Linked DNA regions of Alligator mississippiensis. Each later gene encodes a partner of the first gene's protein in a complex. Links are inferred from orthologs where the notes say so. Each region holds a gene or a part of one and is shown on either strand. Other genes may lie near its edges.

Region 1 (3,744 bases):
AGGAAGTACAAAGATATTGAGGATTATACTGGACACCAGAACTGACTCTTTCCAAAGCGGTTTCAGAACCAATATTGGTATTTTAAAAGTTTTTTGTAGAAGTGCACTGATACATTGGTCCGATATCGGATAAGCACTGGCATAAAGAAAATTGAACGTAAACCGGAAATTGGCTTGATGTGGCCAATAATTTGGCTGATAAATGCCTGTGTGCGCGCATAGCTACAGTGCAGTGCACAGTCAGCAAGGAGCACAGACTGGCAGCTTGGAGAGCTGTGTGCAGCTAGTAAGTCTGGTGTGGTAGAAGGGATGGGAAGGGGAGGGGGGAGGGCAGATCAAAAGGTCCCTGCCATGAGGGAGAAGTGAGGCTGGGGCAAGAGGTGCCCAGCTGGGACAAGGCGGGCACAGGATGGAGCTGCAGCTTGTCTTGGGTGCATGGGGCAGCTCCCACCATTGCACGCTGCTTGTCAAGGAGTCACCGGTCCAGCATTTGCCCAGTGGCTCCCACCACTCATCCGGGAGGGCATGGGGGAAGGGGGGCATGTGCCCCCAGATCTGGGAGGGGCTCTTCCCAGCCCATCACACCCAGATCGGGGGGGGGGGAATGCCACCCCCACCCCCTAGACGAGCAGCAGGAGCAGTGGTGTGAGCTGCCAGGCGAGTGCCAGCCCAGTGGCTCCCGGACAAGCCACAGCTCCATCCCACACCCTCCCCAGTTGGGCAGCACTTACCCCAGCCCCAGACCTACTCCTTCCCTCACTGCGGGGTCATTGATCTGCTCCTCCTGGCCCCTTCCACCACAACAGACTCAGCAGCTGCACACAGCTCTCCAAGCTGCTGGGCTGGTATCAGAAGTCCGATCAATACCAGCAGATGCCTCCTGAAAAGAGTCAGCTATTGGTACTTGCCTCAAAAAAAAAAAAAAATCTTCATCAGCGTACTTCCTAGGTTGTTTCTGGGGATGTGTTGTTTTTGTTTTTTAAATGAAGCACTACAAAATTTATACTGACAAACTGAAGTCCAAACTACTCAATCATTTAATTTGCACCGCAGGTTGGCAACTAAACTCCCAACTTTTATATTTTAATAATAAATTATACCAAGCCACTTGTGCTGAAGTATTCTCGATGCATCCATTTTACCATGTCAGTACGTTATCAGAAAAGCTAAGAACCAACTAGAAGTACTTACCTTGGGCTTTGAGAATAGCTGCTTTGCCTCGTCCAGCCCCCGAACCCTGGTTTTTATTCTTCATGCTCTTTAACATAGGAGCATTTTTCAACATGTCTGGCAAAATGAGGAACCGGATCTTGCTACCCCTAATGTACACCTGCTCCAGCTGTGCCACTCGCCCATCTCTGTATGTCACTGTGATATTGGACATCTGGAAGACAAAAGCTACTCAATACTTCTGACACAATGAGTTTTACCTCCAGAATTCGGGTGTGGAGTCTAGAAATAGGAAGAGCTGTTTGGGTCTAGTACACAGCAGATTTAAATTAGTTGAGCATGTAAATAACATGATGGGGAAAGAGAGAAGAGACCAAGCTACATAGCCTAGTACTTAATGAACAGCCAAGTGTTGCACAGCTGTAAATCCAGCTTGAAAGCAACAGACTGCCTTGTAGAACATTTAAATACTCTTCTTTCCTCCTGCATGTGTCAGACTGGGCATTTTAAGTCATCCGCACACTCATCTATTCACAGTATCCCAGAGGAGGGAGACTGTCCACATGGTGGCTTAAGTGTTAACACTTTAACTAGAGTAACTGCAACACATCCTGTTCCTTCGACTAACCAAATCAGAGACTTCAGGCTAACGTGGTTAACCACCTCCACACAGGCTTCTTTATAGAAAAAGATGTTTTCATGCTTCATTACTTCCATCAGCCAAGGAAATACTTTGCTCAATGTGAACATTTGGCCTCAAATCAGCCACAGTGAAGCCCCAGCCCGATTTGACACACTTTTCAAAAAAAGGCAATTATAAAATAAACTTAGGGGAAAAAAATTTCTTCTGGGGAAGGAAGGAAGAACTCAAGCTGGCTGATGATATGAGAAGCTCTTGTCACCAGCACCACATACTCAGACCTGGTAAAAGGATAAGTGTCTGTTTATGGTAGAAACAGAAGCGGCCTCAGAAGCAAGCTGAGATGTGCAGCTCCCTGCTTTCCGCTTCAGCACTGCAGTGTTTTACCAACCCTAAGCCCGTCACTCAGACAAGCACCTGAGGTAGAGTAGGGGCCTCACCCGGCCTACCTGGCAGTTCATGTTGTCCTCGGCCTCGATGAGCTTGCCCCGATACACCTCCCCCGTGTTAGTCTCGCACGTCACGATGTGGCCCTCGGCCTCGTGCAGCACCTTGATGGGCACCCCGATCGACATCCCAGCGGCGGCGCGGCTCTACCCTGCGGGAGAGAACAAGACAAGGCGGGGGCGGTCAGCGCCTCCCGCGGGCTCTGCCCGGGGTCCCGTCACGGCAGAAGGCGCCTCGACGCGCTCTGGGGAAACAAATACGCCGCCCCTAAGAGACGCCAACCGCGGCCAACTCCCCCGGCCGCCACCCACCGTTAGCACGAAGCTCACAACGTGCGGCCCGCAGCAGCGCTCTAATGGCCTCTCGCACTTCCCGCCCTGCCCCGCGCGCCGGAACCGGAAGTCCGGCGTCCAGCTCTAAGCCGCGGCGCCCCGGCTCTATGGTCGAACGGGGACGCGCCACTCGGGTGTCCCCGCGCTAAGGGGCCGGCGGGACGCGGCGGCCAGGGGGAAGGTTCCGCCCGCGTCCTGCTCCCGCCTCCCCCCGCCGAGTGGCGACAGGGTGCCTCCGCCCACGCACGCCATGCGCCCTCGGCAGCAGCGTGCCCCACCCGGCCCCGGGCACTTGCACAGGAGCCCCCTCATGCCCCCTCTCCCTGTGGGGCGCGGGGAGAAGCCCCTTCGGCGACCGCCCGTGGCCCCCCGACCTGTCCCGGTGCAGCTGGGCGCGCACGGTCCCCTTCCCGCTCCTCCCCCTCCCGCCTGGGCCGCCCCCGGCCCCGCCCCGCCCCGCCCGACAGCAGCGCCGGGGCGCGCAAAAGGCGGCGGCGCCGGCATGAGGGGACCCCCGCAGCCCGGCTCGGCCCCCGGCCACTGAGGCGGCGCCATGAAGAGCCCCCGGGAGGCCGGGCCGCCGCCCGCCGAGCCGAGGCCGGGGCCGGGGCCGGGGCCGCCCGCAGGTCAGTGCGGCCCGCCCGCCGGGATGGGGCAGCGGCTGCGGGCGGCTCCCCGCGCTGCCCGGCCCTGGGAGGCCTCCAGCGCCGCGGGCCCCGGGGGTGGGGGCGAGGATTTGTGTCCGCAGCCTGCTCCGCCTCCGGCCTTGCTGCCGGCCGGCCCCGTACGGGCTCGGCGACGCGGGCAAGAGGCTCCCGGCATCCATCCAGGAGACTCGGCCAAGCCTCGGGCTTCACTTGTTGCTGCTCCGCGCTGCTGCAGGGCCGAGGCTTGTCCGCTGCGCCGGGGTCCGCGGCCAGCGCAGCCCGCGCTCTGGGTCGGCCCCCCGGTCCCTGCTGTCTGGCCGGGGCAGAGAGCAGGTGCTGACGGGGAGGGCGACCCGGGTCTGATGTCCCGCTGTGCCTCTCCCACTTGTAGCCTCCAGGATTTGCGGTCGAGGCATCCCTGGTTCACAGCCGCCAGCCCCCGCTCCCGCGCTCAGTAGCAACTGACTGCTGTCCCTTCCCTCCAAGGACCCGTTGTCCCCTGGCCGTG
Region 2 (3,744 bases), on another chromosome or scaffold:
CTACTAGTACCCCCTCCTTTCTCTCATAGGAGTGTAAATATTGAATTATACTTCATCATCCTATTTTAAAGCTAGTATTTGTTTGTTTAGGATATGGATTTTTTTAACTACTAAATATGTGATGGCATGAGGCAACATACAAGCCAAAGGCCTATAAATGGCCAAGAATAACCAAATGTATGCAGACTAACTAGTCAGCTCAAAGAACAGCAAATTCAAAGCCAAGTCTTAGAATACGCAATTAAAAGCAAAGCTGGCAGGTAGAAACTGAATATTGTATACATATTAGGACTAAAATGTGAGGCAACAAAAGGACTTTATGTTCTGTTTAAGCAACGTAGTCCATGAAAGTACATACCTTGGCACTAAAAAGTATAAGTTTTCACTCATCTGAATTTAACCTAAAAAACACCCAACAGCTACAGAAGACAATAACTCGTGTGCAAAGTACAGTATAAGCCTACTGATTTCAATACTAAAGGCACTATATAAGATGAATTAGTTAATAAATTCAGACAAAATGCCTTGCACTGAGAAGCTTGCACTTCATTAAGTCTCTTTACTTTGCTACTCAGAGCCCTTATGTCTCTAACAAGAGTCTTCAACCTGACAGGACCAAGCTAGTTTCTGGGTTGCTCTTAAAAGCCTGACAATTGAGCTGCTAGTCAGTTTTGCTGCTAGTTAATGTCACCGATTCTTATGCAGTTAAACAGAGTATATTACAAAGACACCAGGCCAAAAAGGTTCCTAGGCAGGCATAATTTATATGATTAGCCAAGAGGCTGACTGACATTTGTTGCAGTGTAAAACTGAGACTGGCACTGTATTATTCCATTAGGTGAATTATGCACTTCTCCAGTACACACATACGTCAATACACATGATAAGTATCATTACTTCACACTGGAACAAATCATGGCTGGAGGAATGCAGTACCGAGAAGTCAGAATTGTGACATTTCCCACAGAAAATGAAAAAGAAGCTGCAGTACGTTAAAGTGAAGAAAAGGAACAGGCCAGCTGCTTCATGCTGTCAGAGCTGTAAGATGCTTCACAGAGCCTTTTAATTACCTAACTGGTTCAATGCTTACTGAGTAATGAATACTACGATTTCTCTAAGTAAATGCTTAAAAATACTTCAAATAAACAAATAAAGTAAAAAGAGTACCTGTAGTGTTTCTAGCCCCATCCTTCCACGTGTCAGGGGTAATCACAGTGCCCAGTTTCTTCTCACCTATGGCACAAAAAGACAGAAGAGGAAAAAGCAAGGAGATGTAAGTGAAAATGCCAAAAAGAAGGTTTCTACTAAAGCCACAAGCCCCAAGCAGGGTACCCCCAAGTACCCCGAGGTGGGAAGGGATAAGCAGATACAGCTGCAGGCTCAGGCTTGTCCCTGTTGGGGCCCCTCTGTGAAGGGGCGTGCACTGTAACACGGGAGCTCAACCCCCAGCCCACGGTGTCATGCCATCGGCCCGTGGGCTCCCCACAGGTCTGGAAATAGGGTGGTGGGGGGCTGTGGCACTGCTCCCCTATGGCCAAACTCCCAGGCCTGTGGGGAGCCCCAGGCCCTGCACTGGACTGGGCCCCACCACAGTCTGCAGAGCCAGGCAGGGCAGTGCCCACCCCCAGGGCCCAATCCTGGCCAGAGAGGCTACGAGGGTGTCGGGGCCAGGCTCCTGGCAGCCCAATCTCAGTGGAGATGGAGGAAGGCAAGTTCCCAAGGCGCAATCCCAGCCAGGGGTGGGGGTGGAGCCAGGCTCCCAGGGGCCAATTCTGGCCTAAGGGAGATACGAAGGGTTGGGACCAGGCTCCAGGTACTAGAGTTCCCATATCTCTGGGTTTTCCTGGATATGTCCTCTTTTTTGACTCCTATGCTGCATCCGGGCAGGTTTTTAAAATAATAGCAAATGTCCAGTTTTTCTCCTTTCCAGGGCTGGCTGCTCCAAGCTGGGCAAGGCGATTGGCTGTCAGGGGCCACATGCTCCCCACACCAGCTTCAACAAGCCAGGTGTAACCAGAAAGAGCGAGAGAGCACACGGGCATGCTCGCAATGCAGGAGCTGCTTGGGCAGCAGGGCAGGGGAGGCAGGGGTCTGCAGGTCAAGAGTGAGGGGCACCAGCAGAGCTGGGGGGGCAGAGGCTACAGGTCCACAGTGAGGGACACTGGCAGCACTGTGGGGGTCATGGAGTGAGGGTCACCACCAGGACTGGGAGGGAGCAGGGGACTGGGGGGTGGGAGTGAAGGGCACTGGCAGGGCGGGGGTCAGTGGGTCCAGAGTGAGGGGAGGGGAAGCAGCAGGGCTTCAGGGGGTTAGCTTTGTCTGGCAGGGGCAGGGGCAGGTCACTCCCCACCCGTGACAGGTGTCCTCTTTTTGGACCTGGAAATATGGTAGCCCTAGGGGGGGGCAATCCCGGTCCGGGGGCTGCGAGGGGGCGGAGCCGGGCTCCCGAGGCCGAATGCAGCCCGGAAGAAGGGGGTTAGGGGTGGGTGAGTGCTGCCGATGGCAGCCAGCGTTGCCCCGGCCCCTCCCCCCCGGGGGATGGGGATCGGCCCCGCGGGACAGGGAGGCAGGGCCCTGTGCACTCACACTTCTCGCAGACCATAGTGATGGCGGCGGCGGGGAGGTAAACACTGACAGCTGCACTTCCCGGCGCGCACTTCCTGTCCCGCCCCCGGCCCGACCCGGCCCTCGCGCGGATTGGCCGCCGCAAGCCGTCCATCACCGGCCGGCGCCTGTTCACGGATCGCCGCCTGTGCGCTGTGTACGGGTGAGGGGGCGGTGGCTGGTGACCTTTGACCTCGGGCTCGAGGAGCGGCGGCGCGGGGGAGACGCAGGTGAGAGCGGGGGGTGGGGCGGGCAACGGCCGGGATCCCCCCCCTCCCCCCTCTGCAACTCGTCTTCACGCACCCTGCCTGTGACAAGAGTGTCGTGGTGATGCAGACCTGGCCTAGCCTGTGCGTAGGCACGGAAGCACACATGTATACTCACACACACCTGCCGGCCGCACCCTCACTTGCATGCATGTACATGTGCCAGTATGCACACGCAGATTGTATACATGTACATATACACCCACACATACTTACACATACATGCACCTGCACACACTGCACACTTGAACAGACACACACATGCATACCCACACACTGCATATATGCACATGTACGCTTACACACATGTGCACCTACACATACGTGGGTGTATACATATATATGGGGAGTCTCTGATCAGCAGAGACTCTCCTTTCCTGAAGAAGGGTGATTGCACCCCAAAGCTTGCCAAAAACATTTTTCCAACCGCTCTGTTGGTCTAATAAAAGAGATCACATCTATTCAAAGAACATAGCCTGCCTATGTATACACATGCACACACTTGCACATACATGTATGCCTACACATGCACTAACTCCTGCACTCGTGCCCATGGTTGCATACACATACCTGTATGCATACATGTATGCACGCACACATTTGCACACACATGCATACACACACACCTGCACGTGTATGCATACTTGCACATGCTCCTGTACCTATGCATACACTTACACGTACACATCAGCCACTTCCTTGCACTGGTAGGCCATGGCCTGGCGAGGGTGCACATCTGTGCTGCCAGCCCCACACCAGCACTCTGTCACCAGAGGGATGTTGGGGAAGCTCTGGGGGCTCCCTCCTGTTTTCAACCACAGCAGTGTTTATGGCGTTCAGAGCAGATTCCTCCCCCACTCAGGCCCCCAAAGTG
Region 3 (3,744 bases), on another chromosome or scaffold:
AGTAAAGAATCACCAATAACAGGAAGCATTTTGCCACCCTACAACTTCATGTACTGAAATGCAGCATCATTTTCAGAAAGGCAGCCAACATTAGCAAACTCTGAACTGCTAATTCAATCATGATACTCTTCAAAATGCAGGAATCAAGTCACCCCTTTTTCATGCTGACCAGATTTATGGCACCACTGCCTTTCATTCCTCCACTTAGATTAGGAACACTATGGAGAGAGACTGTCTTTTTATTCTGTATTTGCCTGTGTCTTTTACAGCAATGAGCAATACAGCAATAGGACCACATCCTCAAAGACCCTCACTTCTGTTAGCTCTCTCTCACAGCACAGTACATTCCCCTGCAACTCCCATGGGAAGACAGCACCCAGGGAAGGCTGCTGACTGGAACCAACATGCAAAGCATTGCTACACAGATGTCTAAAAAGCAGGACCTCAGAAGTGATAGAAATAACTCACATGACAGTTTTTTGTCCATGAACCTGCAATGAAAAAAAACAGAGAAGAAGCCGTCAGCCGTTATTCACAGATCTGGACTGAAAAAAATTACTCTAGATCAGGGGTGTCACCAACATGAGCTGCAGAGGAGCGAGCAGGGGCTGCACCAACACAGCCCAGCTGGTCCCTTGGCTGCTCACTCTGGAGCCTCCACTGGCCACTGCTTCTGCCCTCTGTACCCAGCCCAGGCAGAGCCTGGGCAGGGCCTGTGTATGCGGGTGGGTGGCGAGTGGCCGGAGCGTAAAGCCGGTGGTGTGTGGAGTGGTTGCACCCTCAGCATGTGGACAGAGCCGTTGACACAGGGCCCCCCAAAGCGTGGGGTCCGGGGCAGTTGCCCCAATTCACCCCTCCCCACAAGGGACATCTCTGAGCCCAAGACATGGGAAGAGCCCAATACCCTCTGCGCTAGACCAGGAGACACCCATGAGCTCACTCCATCCCCTTTGCCCTGGCTTGTAACCCTCCAGAGGGGCCACAATTTCTTCACACTGCCAAGAGGCCATTCCTAGTTTGGGGCACTGACCCAGGGCAGGCAACCGACCCCTGTTCCCTGCACAGTCTAGGTCAGGGATGGGCAAAGTCTGGCCCGCAGGCCAGATCCAGTCAGCAGCGAACTCCATTTCCCAGCACGGTTGGGGACGGTCTCCATGGAGACCAGCCACAGCCACACTGGCAGGGCTCCTGGCAAAGCAGGGCAGGGAGCTGTCCCACAGCCACTGGGATCTTCCCATAGTGGTAGCTTGCTCTGGAGACAGCGCAGAGCCACGATCCCTAGCCTGCACACCCCTGCCCAGAGTATGCAGGCTACAGATCGTGGCTCTGCCCTGGCTCCAGAGCAAGCTGCCCTTGCCGCACAATCCCAGGGGCTCTGGAACAGCCCCCTGCCCTGCTCTGACACTAGCCCGGGCCTGGTCTCCACGGCAACCCCAGCCTGGAGATTTCACAGCACAACCATAGCTGAGGTCTCCATGGAGACTGGCCCCAGCCATGCAGGCAGCAGCTGCTGGGAAATGGGAGTCCAGCTGCTGGCTGAATCAGCCATTTTGCCTCCCCTTGGTGTACCCCACTCCCCAGACAACATATTCCACCAGACACCCCCTCCCTCCCAGACATGCCCCTGCCACCAGTTACCCCCTCCCTCCACACCATGAACCCAGGAGGCTTGAAGCCCCAGCTGCCCTGCTGTTATCCCAACAGCTACTGGGGGCCTGGCTTCCCCTAGCAAAGGAAAGGTGAGGGGTGGAGGGAGAGCAGGACCCCAGTACATAGAGCCACATGGGAGGGGAACCACATGCTCAGCAGGGCTGGGGGACCATGTGGGGTGGGGAAGCCTTGGTGGGCAGGAGCCGCAGGCCAGAACAAGGTGCATGCCAGGATGCAGGGGGATGCAAGAATACGGAGTTCTCTTCCACCCCGCTCCCATCCTCCACTCACTTCTTGAGCTCAGGCGGGTGCGCTTTGCTCATGGTGCCTGCTCCCTCGGTGCCACCACAACTGCCTCACACTCAGAAATGGTTGCTCTACTGAAGGAAAAAAAAAACATAAAAAAACATTTACATTGTAAACTATATACTAATATAAAGCACTTTACGCTGCATTTCGAAACAGCAATCAGACAGGATCGAGTGAAAACTACAAAAGAGAAACAGCAAAAATGTATAAGCGCATAAGAAAACTGCATTTGTCCACTGTGAACCGTAGCTTGTCGTTAGCCACAGGAACGGTGTGCGTTCCTGCAAAATAACCACAGCTTTCTTGTTCGAGATGGAGTGAAAAAATATGACAGGCCCAGTAGCTAAACCTGACTTGGGGAATATCTCATTAATAGCCTGAGAAACACCATTTAAGTGTGCAAGTCAGCCAGCTATCAAGGTGTTCACCCATAGATGCTACCCCTGCCACACACACACACACACACACACTTCTGATAAGTCAGGAAGTCGCGCAGTGTAAGGTGAAAGCTTTGTAAGACAGGAACTGAAAACCGAGCTGTGACTTTCCCCTAAAGGCAAGCTGAAAAGCAAGGCATCTCGGCTGCTCCGCCATGTCCAGAGAAGGCCCATGGCTACATCGAGGCGTTACTTGGGACAACGCTGAAACCCCACGTGCCGGCCCCCGCCGGGAACAGCATACGCTGCCATTGCCAGTGCGGCCCCGGCCCGCGGGGAAGCGGCGGCGCCCGCAGCCGCATCCGCGCCCACGTACCGCCGGAGGCTGCAGCTGGTGCCTGAGCTCGGGTCCCGCCAGCGCCGCGTGAGGAGAGCCGGGATTTCGCGCCGAAAGGGCGAAGGGGAACGCACCTCACCGCCAATGGCGCCGCGCCGCGCTGCAGCCTGGGAGGACGGGGCGGGGATGCAAACCACACCCCTCCGCCGCCGGCCCCGCCCCGCCCCGCCCCGCCCCCCCGGCTGACCCGCGGCCAATATAGATATTACAGTGTTCAGCTCCTAACACAGAGAAGCGGGGGTGTAGGGTCGTTCAGGCAGGGACAAGCCTGGCCATGACTTATTTGTTTGTGGCACCCTTCACAGGATCTGGTGGCACCAGAGGGTGGCTCAGCGCCCCGGCTGAGAATTGCTAGTCTGATGCAATGGATTTTGTGAGAAAAGAGGTGTTTTGATTAAATGCCTCAAAGAACTTTGCTTCTTATCACGAAGTAAATCTGCCTCGCGCATGACACCCGCGCCAGCGGCCGATCGCGACGTTGGGTGGGAACTCTAGTGGAGCCAATAAGTACCAATCAGGCCTGTCAGGGTGGGCCACAACCCCCCTATAATCCCTTGAGTAGAGGCCGTGAGAACATTCAAAACTCAAAGCACGAGGTAGCTGCAATGCTGCTGAATGCACATCCTGACGGGGCGTGGTTTCATCGTTGGTCGGGTCGGAAGGGACCTGAGCAGATCATCAAGTCCGACCCCCTGCCGTGGCAGGAAAGAGCACTGGGGGCAAACGACCCTGGCAGGGTGTTCTCTTAAAGACCCCCAGAGTAGGAGCCAGCACCACTTCTCTTGGAAGTTGGTTCCAGGTCCTAGCCACCCTGACAGTGAAGTAGCGCCTCCTGATATCTAGTCTGAATCTACCCTCTGCCAGCTTGTGACCGTTATTTCTAGTCACTCCTGGGAGTGCTCGGGGGAACAGGGACTCCCCCAGTGCCTGCTGGTCTCCTCTGACTAGTTTGTAAACAGCCACCAGGTCCCCCCTCAGCCTTCTCTTGTGGAGGCTGAACAGGTTCAGGTC

Evidence for each region.
Region 2: SNRPD3 (region 1) and CRIPT share a complex: the UniProt entries of both Homo sapiens proteins name them as parts of the minor spliceosome. The link is inferred for Alligator mississippiensis from reciprocal best matches to the Homo sapiens genes SNRPD3 and CRIPT.
Region 3: SNRPD3 (region 1) and SNRPG share a complex: the UniProt entries of both Homo sapiens proteins name them as parts of the U7 snRNP complex. The link is inferred for Alligator mississippiensis from reciprocal best matches to the Homo sapiens genes SNRPD3 and SNRPG.

What each region holds. Positions count from the first base shown.
Region 1 is NC_081833.1:19,337,920-19,341,663, forward strand, and holds the start of SNRPD3 (small nuclear ribonucleoprotein Sm D3), read right to left. Parts: upstream 2,997-3,744; 5' UTR 2,964-2,996; intron 2,664-2,963; exon of another isoform or gene 2,569-2,663; intron 2,409-2,568; 5' UTR 2,386-2,408; coding exon 2,260-2,385; intron 1,385-2,259; coding exon 1,192-1,384; intron 1-1,191. Other genes in the region: protein GUCD1, read left to right, coding at 3,239-3,569. UniProt on the Homo sapiens protein: Plays a role in pre-mRNA splicing as a core component of the spliceosomal U1, U2, U4 and U5 small nuclear ribonucleoproteins (snRNPs), the building blocks of the spliceosome.
Region 2 is NC_081824.1:199,220,403-199,224,146, reverse strand, and holds the start of CRIPT (cysteine-rich PDZ-binding protein), read right to left. Parts: upstream 2,686-3,744; 5' UTR 2,603-2,685; coding exon 2,587-2,602; intron 1,234-2,586; coding exon 1,168-1,233; intron 1-1,167. UniProt on the Homo sapiens protein: As a component of the minor spliceosome, involved in the splicing of U12-type introns in pre-mRNAs. Involved in the cytoskeletal anchoring of DLG4 in excitatory synapses.
Region 3 is NC_081830.1:13,252,537-13,256,280, reverse strand, and holds the start of SNRPG (small nuclear ribonucleoprotein G), read right to left. Parts: upstream 2,886-3,744; 5' UTR 2,808-2,885; intron 2,802-2,807; exon of another isoform or gene 2,713-2,801; intron 2,031-2,712; 5' UTR 1,974-2,030; coding exon 1,942-1,973; intron 492-1,941; coding exon 469-491; intron 1-468. UniProt on the Homo sapiens protein: Plays a role in pre-mRNA splicing as a core component of the spliceosomal U1, U2, U4 and U5 small nuclear ribonucleoproteins (snRNPs), the building blocks of the spliceosome.